Linked DNA regions of Nothobranchius furzeri. The protein of the gene in region 3 purifies or fractionates together with the protein of the main gene of each other region. This does not show direct contact. Links are inferred from orthologs where the notes say so. Each region holds a gene or a part of one and is shown on either strand. Other genes may lie near its edges.

Region 1 (4,257 bases), on a different chromosome or scaffold from region 3:
CACTGGGGCATGCTCCGTCTCCAAATTGTACTGGAATCAGTTACATGATTAGTTACTTGGGTTTATGTAATCCAAGTGAAAATGCATTCAGTTAAAACCCGCTACCTCAGGGACCTCATGTTGAAAGATCTCTGTGGATTTCTTACAAGAAGATGACTTAGGCTTGAATAAACTGTATGCAAAAGTTAATCCAGATGTATGTACGGATTTACGCACAATTCCTTCATATGATCCATCAAAGGTGATATTGAGCATAAGTGAACACTGGACACATAATATGCATGCTTTATTATCCAACAATGTAATTGCAACACGTGAAGTTATTATTTATTTTTTGTGCATCTGGTGTTAACAATATTTATTTTCACTGTTTCCCTGCAAGCCCACTATTAAGTGTCACCAAACACGCAGGTAAAGGTAGAAAAGCACATAAGCCAGCCGTGAAATAGGTGTGGGAAAAGGGTGCATGCTACGATGATTTAGTGTTAATACATGAGTAGTCTGACCTGCTAGACTCGTCCTAATACACGAGGCCCCTGGCAAATTCCTGCGGCTACTGAGTCTGTTTCACGTAAATTTATTAACATCTACCTTCTCATTTTGGTCCAAGCAGCTGAGATCAGCAGTCAGACCGTGCTCCTCAGCCTCCTCGGCTATCCCCTCAGCTATAGCCTGAGCTTGGCCCTTCTGGGACCCAAACAGCACCACAAATCGATGCTTCACCTCACAAGGCATGCTGGGGGGAAACAGATAAACAGATAAATATTTAGGCAATTCTAAAACGCCACAGGTAAAATAGTGAGACTAACTAATCAATTATCAGCTGCATTTTAACAAACATCTCAGCTTACCAACATACTTGGACAAATAAAAGGCAGGCTGCCACAGAAACACGTTTAACACACCGCTACGCCACCATTACCGTCAGTACCAGGATGTTGCGTCAAACTTTGACTAGTTACCAAAACAGCGCACGTGGACGTTTTTCACTCAAGAACACTTTATGAACATAACATTTCATATTTGGTCCGTAAACTAATTCGGAATTCCGAGAAACTCGACTCACTTTCTTTAGAGAATCGTGTTTTCTGGCATTAGTCCGTAATAAATACACAGGAAATACAAGCAGTTTAAAGTTAATAAAGTATTTCTACCTTTTTAAATTGTATGAAAATTCACCTCGTCAACTCCTTGCCAACATACCGGTAATTAGTCTTGTTACTGAATTCACGCGAGATCTGAGCTCAAACTGAGATTGCGCGTGATCGGAACAAACCAAGTTACGACAAAGACGTTCCCCTTGTTTAAAATTTGTTGTCAGTTGCAATGATATTAATTTGTATGATTGTGACTAATTTATGATATAGTTGTTCAAGCCTTTTGTCGTTTATAAAAAAGGTGACAGGAATGGAAGAAAACACGCTGAACTGAATTTGGTTCCGCCCTCCCCACCCGTGGAGCCTTCCAGAAGTCCCCGGCAGATCCGTGCGGCTTGCAGTTCAGCCACACTCCAGGATCACATCATTAAACGCGTTATTCTGTCAGATAAACGCCGATTGTGTGTTCTAAACTCCAAATCAGCATGTCCACTTTGGGCACATTAGCCTTTGATGAATATGGAAGGCCCTTCATCATCATTAAAGACCAAGACAAGAAGACACGCTTATCGGGCATTGATGCACTGAAGGTACAATGAGCTAGCTAGCATACATGTAGCGTGATGGCCTAACAAGCAAACCTGCTATTAGATATTTAATTTGGTTACAACACGAATTTATACATACGGCTTTGTGTTGCATGAGTGAATTTGTCCAACACATTCTGATGTTTGTGCAAAATAAGCTGAATTAGATTAGGAAATGAAATGAATTCGTTAGCTATGCTAAGAAGAGGCCCATGTGCTCCCTGTGCGTTCATCTAGTAGGAGGTGCTACATAGGGCTGTACCCTGCATGGTCATGTACATCACCCATACAGCCGACACGCTGTTTACATGCCTTTTGAGGGTGACTTTTAGAGGTAAAATGTGTTTTGATATGCACTTGTTTTGTTTTACAGTCTCACATAATGGCAGCCAAGGCAGTGGCATCAACGCTTAAGACATCTTTGGGTCCAAACGGTACGATCCAGTGCAGTGATGTCATTTCACTTGAATAACTGCTGAGATGTCGAGAGTCTGTGTGACCATTAGATTATTAATTTAATCTAGTTACAAACACAGCAGGTTTACCATGTCATGTCACCGTTTAGGTCTTGACAAGATGATGGTTGACAAGGATGGAGAAGTAACTGTCACTAATGATGGCGCCACCATTCTCAGCATGATGGATGTGGACCACCAGATTGCCAAGCTGATGGTGGAACTGTCCAAATCCCAAGATGATGAGATTGGTGATGGAACCACTGGAGTTGTTGGTGTGTAAACGTGTGCAGAAGGAACATTGTGTGAATGCTTTTTGTAGATGAACATGTGATATATGTTCTGTGTTAATTAATTTTATATAGAATTCTTGGTTAGTATTGATATTTTTATTTTAGTTAAATAGTTTTAATTCGGTAAAGTGCATAAAATTAGGTTTTGGCAGGTAAATTATGAGTTCCTAAAAGTGATTTGTGTGCTGCTACTATTGGGGCATTTTAGCATGCAAATGAATCAGAAAATGTCTAGATATCGGCCAAAAAGTGACAACTCGTATCGGCAATGACTCATACTTGTTGGTATTGGGGAAAGAAAACCCCATAACGGTCTACCTCCACTACCTACTGCTCTTCTAATGCATTTCTGACTCTGTTTACCTATTTTCCTGCATCCTCAGTGCTGGCTGGATCGCTGCTTGAGCAGGCCGAGCAGCTGCTGGACCGAGGAATCCACCCCATCAGGATCTCCGATGGTTACGACCAAGCTGCACGCATAGCCATAGAGCAGCTGGACAAAATAGCAGAAACTTTCCCCTTCGATCCCAACAACACCGAACCACTCATTCAGACTGCCATGACAACGCTGGGGTCAAAAGTGTAAATTAAATTATTATTTTAGTAGTTGTTGATGCCATTTTCCTGTGCCCCTGTGACCTGGCTGCTTTTTAAGTGAGTTATTGAGATTTGACAAATCACCTTTTAATCCTATTGTTGTTATCTAGCATCAACCGGTGCCACAGACAGATGGCGGAAATTGCAGTGAATGCCATCCTCACTGTGGCCGACATGGAAAGGAAGGATGTAGACTTTGAGCTCATCAAGGTGGAGGGCAAGGTGGGAGGAAAGCTGGAGGACACACAGCTCATTAAGGGAGTCATAGTGGATAAGGAGTTCAGCCACCCTCAGATGCCCAAGGTATGATTTAAAATATAAATGTTTGTTGTAAATATTGCTGCATTTTTGTGATGCTTTAACGTGCCTGAGCTAACAAATTCTCTTTTCAATTAGCTTCTCAAAGATGTTAAAATCGCTATTCTAACCTGCCCGTTTGAGCCTCCTAAACCCAAGACCAAACACAAGTTGGATGTGACCTCCGTTGAGGACTACAAAGCCCTCCAGAATTATGAAAAAGAGAAGTTTGAGGAGATGATCCAGCAGGTTAGTAATTCTCACAAATCCCGATGCTACAAAAATGACTTTTTGTGGTTCATGCAAATCAAGGAAGAATAAAAACACCTTAATTCTAGGTCAAAAGCACTGGTGCTAACTTGGCCATCTGCCAGTGGGGCTTTGATGATGAGGCCAACCATCTTCTGCTGCAAAGCGAGCTGCCTGCTGTGCGCTGGGTTGGAGGGCCTGAGATTGAGGTGAGGTAGAAGTCTTGCATGTGAAAGGTCAGAATGAGCTACCCTTGCTACGAGCTCACCCTTTGGTGTTTTGTTAGTTGATTGCTATAGCTACCGGAGGCCGTATTGTGCCGAGGTTCTGCGAGCTGACACCAGAGAAGCTCGGAACCGCTGGCTTGGTGAAGGAGATCTCCTTTGGCACAACCAAGGATCACATGCTCGTCATCCAGGAGTGCAAAAACACCAGGGCTGTAACCATTTTCATCCGAGGCGGCAACAAAATGGTACGCTCTCACAAGGCTGTATCGTTTTTGTCCTTTTTCATCACATTCATGTCTAATGGTCAAAACCTTTTCATTAGATCATTGAGGAAGCCAAGCGTGCTCTCCACGATGCTCTGTGTGTAATCCGCAATTTGGTGAAAGATAACCGTATTGTGTATGGGGGCGGAGCTTCAGAGATAGCCTGTGCCCTGGCTGTCAACCAGGCTGCAG
Region 2 (2,833 bases), on a different chromosome or scaffold from region 3:
CCATTGCTGTGGAGGACTTCGCTGCCTTCGTGGGCTACTCGGTGGATGAGGCAGTAAAAGGTGAGCTCATGTTTACACCTGTGTTGTTTTAACAGTGATCCACACGTGTGTTTAATTCTGTTTACTGATGTTTTCTTTGTGAAGGAGTGTTGAGTCAAGGCTGGCAGGCAGATCCCACCACCAGGATGGTCATGCCCAAGAAGCCAGGTAGGGGGCGCTGCTGTCTTAGTCAATCTGTCTTCTTCTCCCTTGTAATCCTTGTGAGAGATTTATGGATTTTTCCCTTTAGAATGTTTAATTTTTCAGAACTTTCCAACATTTTGTCTCCTAGTTCAGATAATTTATCAAGATTTAAAAACTGTTAGAAGTTAGACGGATTCGTCCTCACTAGGGTGTAGGGAGGAGGAATTAGTCATGTACATACACAGGTTACACACACACGTGTGTGTACACATACACACGCACGCACACACACATAAACACACACACGCACACACATGTGTACACAAACACACACACGCATGCACACATACACGCACACACACACACGCACACACATGCACACACAAACACATGCGCACACACATACACATGCATGCACACACACGCACACAAACACATACACACACGCATGCACACACACATACACACGCATGCACTCACACACACATGCACACACACAGTCTCCAAGAAAATTTTGACTTTGATTTTCAGTTTCAAAATAAATTGTTATAATCAAATTTAACTCATTCACTGCCAATACTGTGTGGGCATCAGGACGAGCCCCCGCACCGTGAGAACAAACATCTCAGCTCTAAAGCTGATCTTCATCTGCATACGTCACACGTCACGTGATCAGGAAGCAGAACATCCATGTGTTAGGAGATCGTTTTGGGCCCTTGCTGTAAAAAAAGTGAGGCACGAACTGGAAAAGCTTCTGATCACAATTCAACAACGATTTATGAAAGAACGGATAACGCTCGAAACGCGCAAATTCTCCCTCATGTAACTCTGCTCCAACACACCTGATTCCAGTCGGCAGGTGATTAACAGGCTTCTGCAGAGCCTGATGAGCTGCTGCAGGTGATTCAAGCACTGAATCAGCCAACCCTGACCGAGCACGTGACCGAGCACTAAAACGTGCCGGTACTGCCCTTCGAGGCGTAGAATTGAATACCCCAGCTTTATAGTTTATAGAAAAGGTTTGTAGGTAAAACTGCTGCGAGGAATTCTGGGAAGTTTTTTACGGCTAAAGATGGAAGTTAGCGTTTGAGCTTAAAGAATTTCTTTGTTACACAGCAACCTTATTTTGTGAAAGGTTTGATGTCACAATCTCCTTCTGTGTGTGAGTAGGACTTGTGAGACCGTAGTTCTTTCACAAAAGGCATTCTGGGATTTGTAGGTTGTTGCATCTTTCCTGTTTTATTTCACTTTTTTAAAACTTTTATTTTGACATTTATTTTCCTCACAATAAGTTTTTTATTTCTCATATTTTTACAATTTTTTAAATCAGACTTTAGACATTTTTGATAGTTTGTTTAACATTTAGACTTTATTTAGATCCCAGCTGATCTCTTAGTGGCGTGTTTTTAGCGCTGCCTCTAGCGTGCTCTGTGGTTTTCTATGTGAGGTCCCTGCCTGCCCGTGTGGTACCAGACAGGTTAAACGGCTGGTTGTAACTGGAGCCTGAACATGTGGGCCGTGGCTGCAGAGTTGAAACCAAAGAGCGATGGGATGTTATCACCCCTCCACCTCCGTCTGTTCCAACAGATCCTCCTCCGGTCGCCCTGGTTCCAAACGAGCAGCAGTTGGCCAGACTCACCGACTATGTGGCCTTCCTGGAGAACTGAAGCTTCAGCTGCAGAGTTTCACCTGTTTGGTACCGAAGAAGACGGGTTTGGACGGACTCTTGGTCCATCCTGAAAGACCTGGCTCTCCCGGTGGAGAATGTTCTGGTTCACTTGGAGTTTATCGAGTCGGAGACTCGTTTTTCTCCTCTCCCTCTTGTCATGATGTGTACATTTGGGTCTGAGCTCAAAGTGTTTCTGACTGTTTTTGTTTCCAGCATAATAAACTCGTCCCTCACAAATGCTTTATTCAGGTTCAGCAGCTAAAAGTTAGCAGGAGTCCTTCCTGACCTCGTATTTAAGTTGCTGTTGATGAATAAATATTCTGCTGTTTCTAACCACTGACTGGTCGTGTCTCGCTCGGCTCAGCACGTTGACTTCACTGACACAAATGAGTCACATACAAGGCCATAAATGTGTTGGTAAGTGGATATTGGAGCTAATTATAAAACAAAATCTGATGAAGCATTGGTGTAAATACATCTGGCCACCGGCTGCTCATCACTGCCACATAGAAGGAAAATCTGTATTTTTAGTCCTCTTCAGACCGTTTGTAAGCATCGTGTCAGAGCTGGGAGAAGATGTGGTTTAGTGTTCATAACTCTAGTTACCGCCTGATATGTTTTTATAATCGCACATTTAAATGCGGACGATTTCCTTCTGCATGGATCCTTCTTAGAAATACGATAAGTAAAATGTTTTCTCGTTTATCTCCTGGTATAAATCCGTTTGATTCTAACAGCAGATCTGATCCAGGATCTGTCTGTGCTGTTCTCACAAATAGGAAGTCACTCGTGTTGAGACATGTTTTACAGCAGCTTGCCTCCAGATCTGAACTCAGACACAGCTGGGTCACGTGGGAAACCATGCTTGGAAGAATCCTTTATAATCTACAACAGCAACACCTGAAGCCAGGCTGACCACCGGCCAATCAGCTGAGCTGGTTGGAGCGCGGTGTTGATGGGTCACCGGTTCCATCCCTGTAC
Region 3 (2,860 bases):
ATGTTCATCAGCACAAACCTATGTGAGCACCTGTTGTCATCTAATGTTGTCATTATTACGATGAAGATGAACAAAACAACAGGAGTCTCCTCCTCAGCTCAGCTCAACCCCATGATGCAGGTATCTGGCTGGAACAGGTGAGCATCACAGTGAACCAGTGGAGCAAAAAGAGCTTTAAATATGTTGGTTTTATGCTCTTTTTTCTGCTCCAAAACATGAAAGTTAACAGGTGAGATATTGCATTTTCATTTAAGATAAAATTATGTCTTTATTTTGTTGTTGGCCCGTAAGAAAAGATTTAACCTACAGTAAACAGGAAGTGGAAAGGCTGCAGATAGATGAATAGAATAGAAAATCCCTTTATTGTTCCTCAGTGGGGAAAGCTAGACGTCACAGCAGCGATGACACTTATTACAGGAGAAAAAAGGGAGAATAAATAATAAGAAAAATGAATAAACAAGAAAACATAAATCCTGAATACATTTTAAAAATGCTGATTATACCACAAGTAATGAATACCACTGATGCCTTTTATTTAAAACTGACTTGCTCGTGTGTAATTTGGTTATTCCACATTCAGCGTTAATGCAGAAATAAGTTTGTTTCCTAATTTAAAGGTTCAAAATTGCATACATGTTGATAAATAAAATGTGCAAATTTGCCGTCACTTTTTCAAAAATATTAAGTTTGGCCCTCAGCTCCGTCCCAGAGTTTCATTTCGGCCCCGTGTGAGTTTGAGTTTGACACCCCTGGTTTATAGGATCAAAACGGAATGCTGGGAGGAAATGATCAGCTCTCTGCATCCAGATATTTTAGGAACCTGGAATGACTTCATCTGAGTATTTGCACAAATCGTACATCATTTATTTATTTAAATTAGTTGCCCAAGATGTTATGCTTACTTTTAACTTGTTTTCCCGTTTCAAGGGAAATGTAATAAACAAAATTTAAAAAAAAAATTGATTAAAAATCCTAAAATTTGATCTGGGACTGCTGGCAAACATAAAACAAAACTTAAAAGAAAAAACTATTTGCTCAAAGATAACGTTTTAAAAATAAATAAAAATCTCAAAGAATATTAGTCATCTCATCTTTTGGACACAAACCTTGACCCGCATCTTGAATAAATGTCTTGACTGCAGCCTATTTCAACCCGCTGGACTGCTCGAAGCTGCTCACCACAGATCAACACGACCAGATTCGTGTTTACTCTTCCTGTGACTTTTCCAAGCCCCAACACATCATCCAGCACCCACACAGGCAGTTTCAGCACCTCACACCCATCAAGGTTTGTGTCTGAGTCCTCCTGCGAGTTCTGGTGAAACGTCCAGAATAGTTCTAGACTTCTGTATGATTGATGAGTCGAGGCGTGATGTTTTGAACGTGTGTTTCTGTCCCACTAGTGTGGAAAGACTCCTTTGGATGCTAATGTGACATCACAATTAATTAAATTGAGAGAATAGTGGTCCATTTGTTCTGTAGGCCACGTGGCATCCCATGTATGACCTGATTGTGGCCGGACGCTACCCTGATGACCGGATCTGCACCGGGGATCTGAGGAGCGTCGACATCTTTGACTCCAACAGTGGGGATCTTGTGTTCCAGCTTTACGATTCCACTGCCTCCGGGATTAAATCTGTGAGTGTTCATTAAAAGATGGACACGTTAAAGGCTGCTGTTACTAAGCTTGTGTGTGTGTGTGTGTGTGTGTGTGTGTGTGTGGGTGTGGGTGTGGGGTGTTCTCACAGGTCAATAAATTCAGTCCGATGGGTGACGTGATCGGATCTGGTATGGGTGAGTTATCGGACGCTCTTCATTTAACCCAAATTGAAGCTTTTAATTTTTTAAAGAAGTTCAACTGTTTTCTGCGCTTTTATTTTGTAAAGGTGTAACCCTGCTGGTCTGGGACCACGATGAGTCACTGGTCAGCGGTCGGCACAAACAGCACGAAGAAACTCCGTCCTCAGTTGAAAGGTCGAGGGCTCCGAGGAGGAGTCAGCCGCGCTCCAGCAGAGACCGAAAAGGTTCGGCTGCTGACACAAAACTCAAGAAGAAACTGGCTTCTCTGGAAGAAGCCGAGACCAAAAGCAGGACTGGGAGCACGAAACAAAAACTAGCTCAGGCTAGAAAGAAGTGAACTGTTTATCTAAAGTCTTTGTAAATGTCATTGTTAGTGTTTAACATCAGGGACTGTCTGCGTGTTTGGTATATTGAATCTTTGATGAACCAGTTTAAAGTTCTACGTTTTCACAGTTTTTATACTATAGAACAATAAAACTATATAAGTCTTTCCTTAAAACAGTTTCTGGTGTTTACACACTTCTCATGGGCATGGATGACATAAACATGGGCCTTTTTAACTGCTTTCAATCAATATTGTCAGTATCTAGTCGAATCCATAAATATTGGGACGTCGACGGTTCTAAAACGTTTGGCTCTACTCCCCCACAATGGACTTGAAATAAAATAAACACAAAGTGCTTTAGCTGCAAACTGTCAGCTTTCATTTGAGGGTATTTACATTCAAACCATGTGAACGGTAGCCTGGCAAACGATCCTATGTGTGAGGACATATACAAACTTTGCAAAACAAGAATTTGGTTTAGTTCACTAGGCTATGTGAACAGTGTTGGAATAATGTTTTCATGTGTGCCTCACACGGGGCCGAAAGTAATGTGGCAAAATAACCATAAGTCTACCTTCACTTTTTAATACTTGGTTGAAAATCCTTAGCAATGAACTACAGCCTGAAGTCTGGAACACGTAGACATCACCAGCTGGGTTTCATCCCTGGTGATGCTCTGACAGAACAAGGAACTAGTTGAATAGTATTTTGACTGTGAGGAAGACAGAAAATCCA

The links.
Region 1: the proteins of ddb2 (region 3) and cct5 purify together in Homo sapiens (co-immunoprecipitation; 3 studies listed by BioGRID and IntAct, with this or other methods). This does not show direct contact. The link is inferred for Nothobranchius furzeri from reciprocal best matches to the Homo sapiens genes DDB2 and CCT5.
Region 2: the proteins of ddb2 (region 3) and cops8 purify together in Homo sapiens (affinity purification with mass spectrometry; 6 studies listed by BioGRID and IntAct, counting the BioPlex papers as one, with this or other methods). This does not show direct contact. The link is inferred for Nothobranchius furzeri from reciprocal best matches to the Homo sapiens genes DDB2 and COPS8.

The regions. Positions count from the first base shown.
Region 1 is NC_091747.1:54,098,009-54,102,265, reverse strand, and holds the start of cct5 (T-complex protein 1 subunit epsilon), read left to right. Parts: upstream 1-1,428; 5' UTR 1,429-1,582; coding exon 1,583-1,687; intron 1,688-2,057; coding exon 2,058-2,118; intron 2,119-2,249; coding exon 2,250-2,414; intron 2,415-2,815; coding exon 2,816-3,014; intron 3,015-3,139; coding exon 3,140-3,332; intron 3,333-3,425; coding exon 3,426-3,575; intron 3,576-3,664; coding exon 3,665-3,784; intron 3,785-3,861; coding exon 3,862-4,047; intron 4,048-4,124; coding exon 4,125-4,257. Other genes in the region: mtrr (methionine synthase reductase), read right to left, coding at 1-30, 592-735. UniProt on the Homo sapiens protein: Component of the chaperonin-containing T-complex (TRiC), a molecular chaperone complex that assists the folding of actin, tubulin and other proteins upon ATP hydrolysis.
Region 2 is NC_091747.1:24,680,828-24,683,660, reverse strand, and holds the end of cops8 (COP9 signalosome complex subunit 8), read left to right. Parts: coding exon 1-60; intron 61-144; coding exon 145-207; intron 208-1,770; coding exon 1,771-1,850; 3' UTR 1,851-2,185; downstream 2,186-2,833. UniProt on the Homo sapiens protein: Component of the COP9 signalosome complex (CSN), a complex involved in various cellular and developmental processes.
Region 3 is NC_091744.1:65,528,496-65,531,355, reverse strand, and holds the end of ddb2 (DNA damage-binding protein 2), read left to right. Parts: intron 1-1,142; coding exon 1,143-1,288; intron 1,289-1,482; coding exon 1,483-1,638; intron 1,639-1,748; coding exon 1,749-1,794; intron 1,795-1,886; coding exon 1,887-2,137; 3' UTR 2,138-2,299; downstream 2,300-2,860.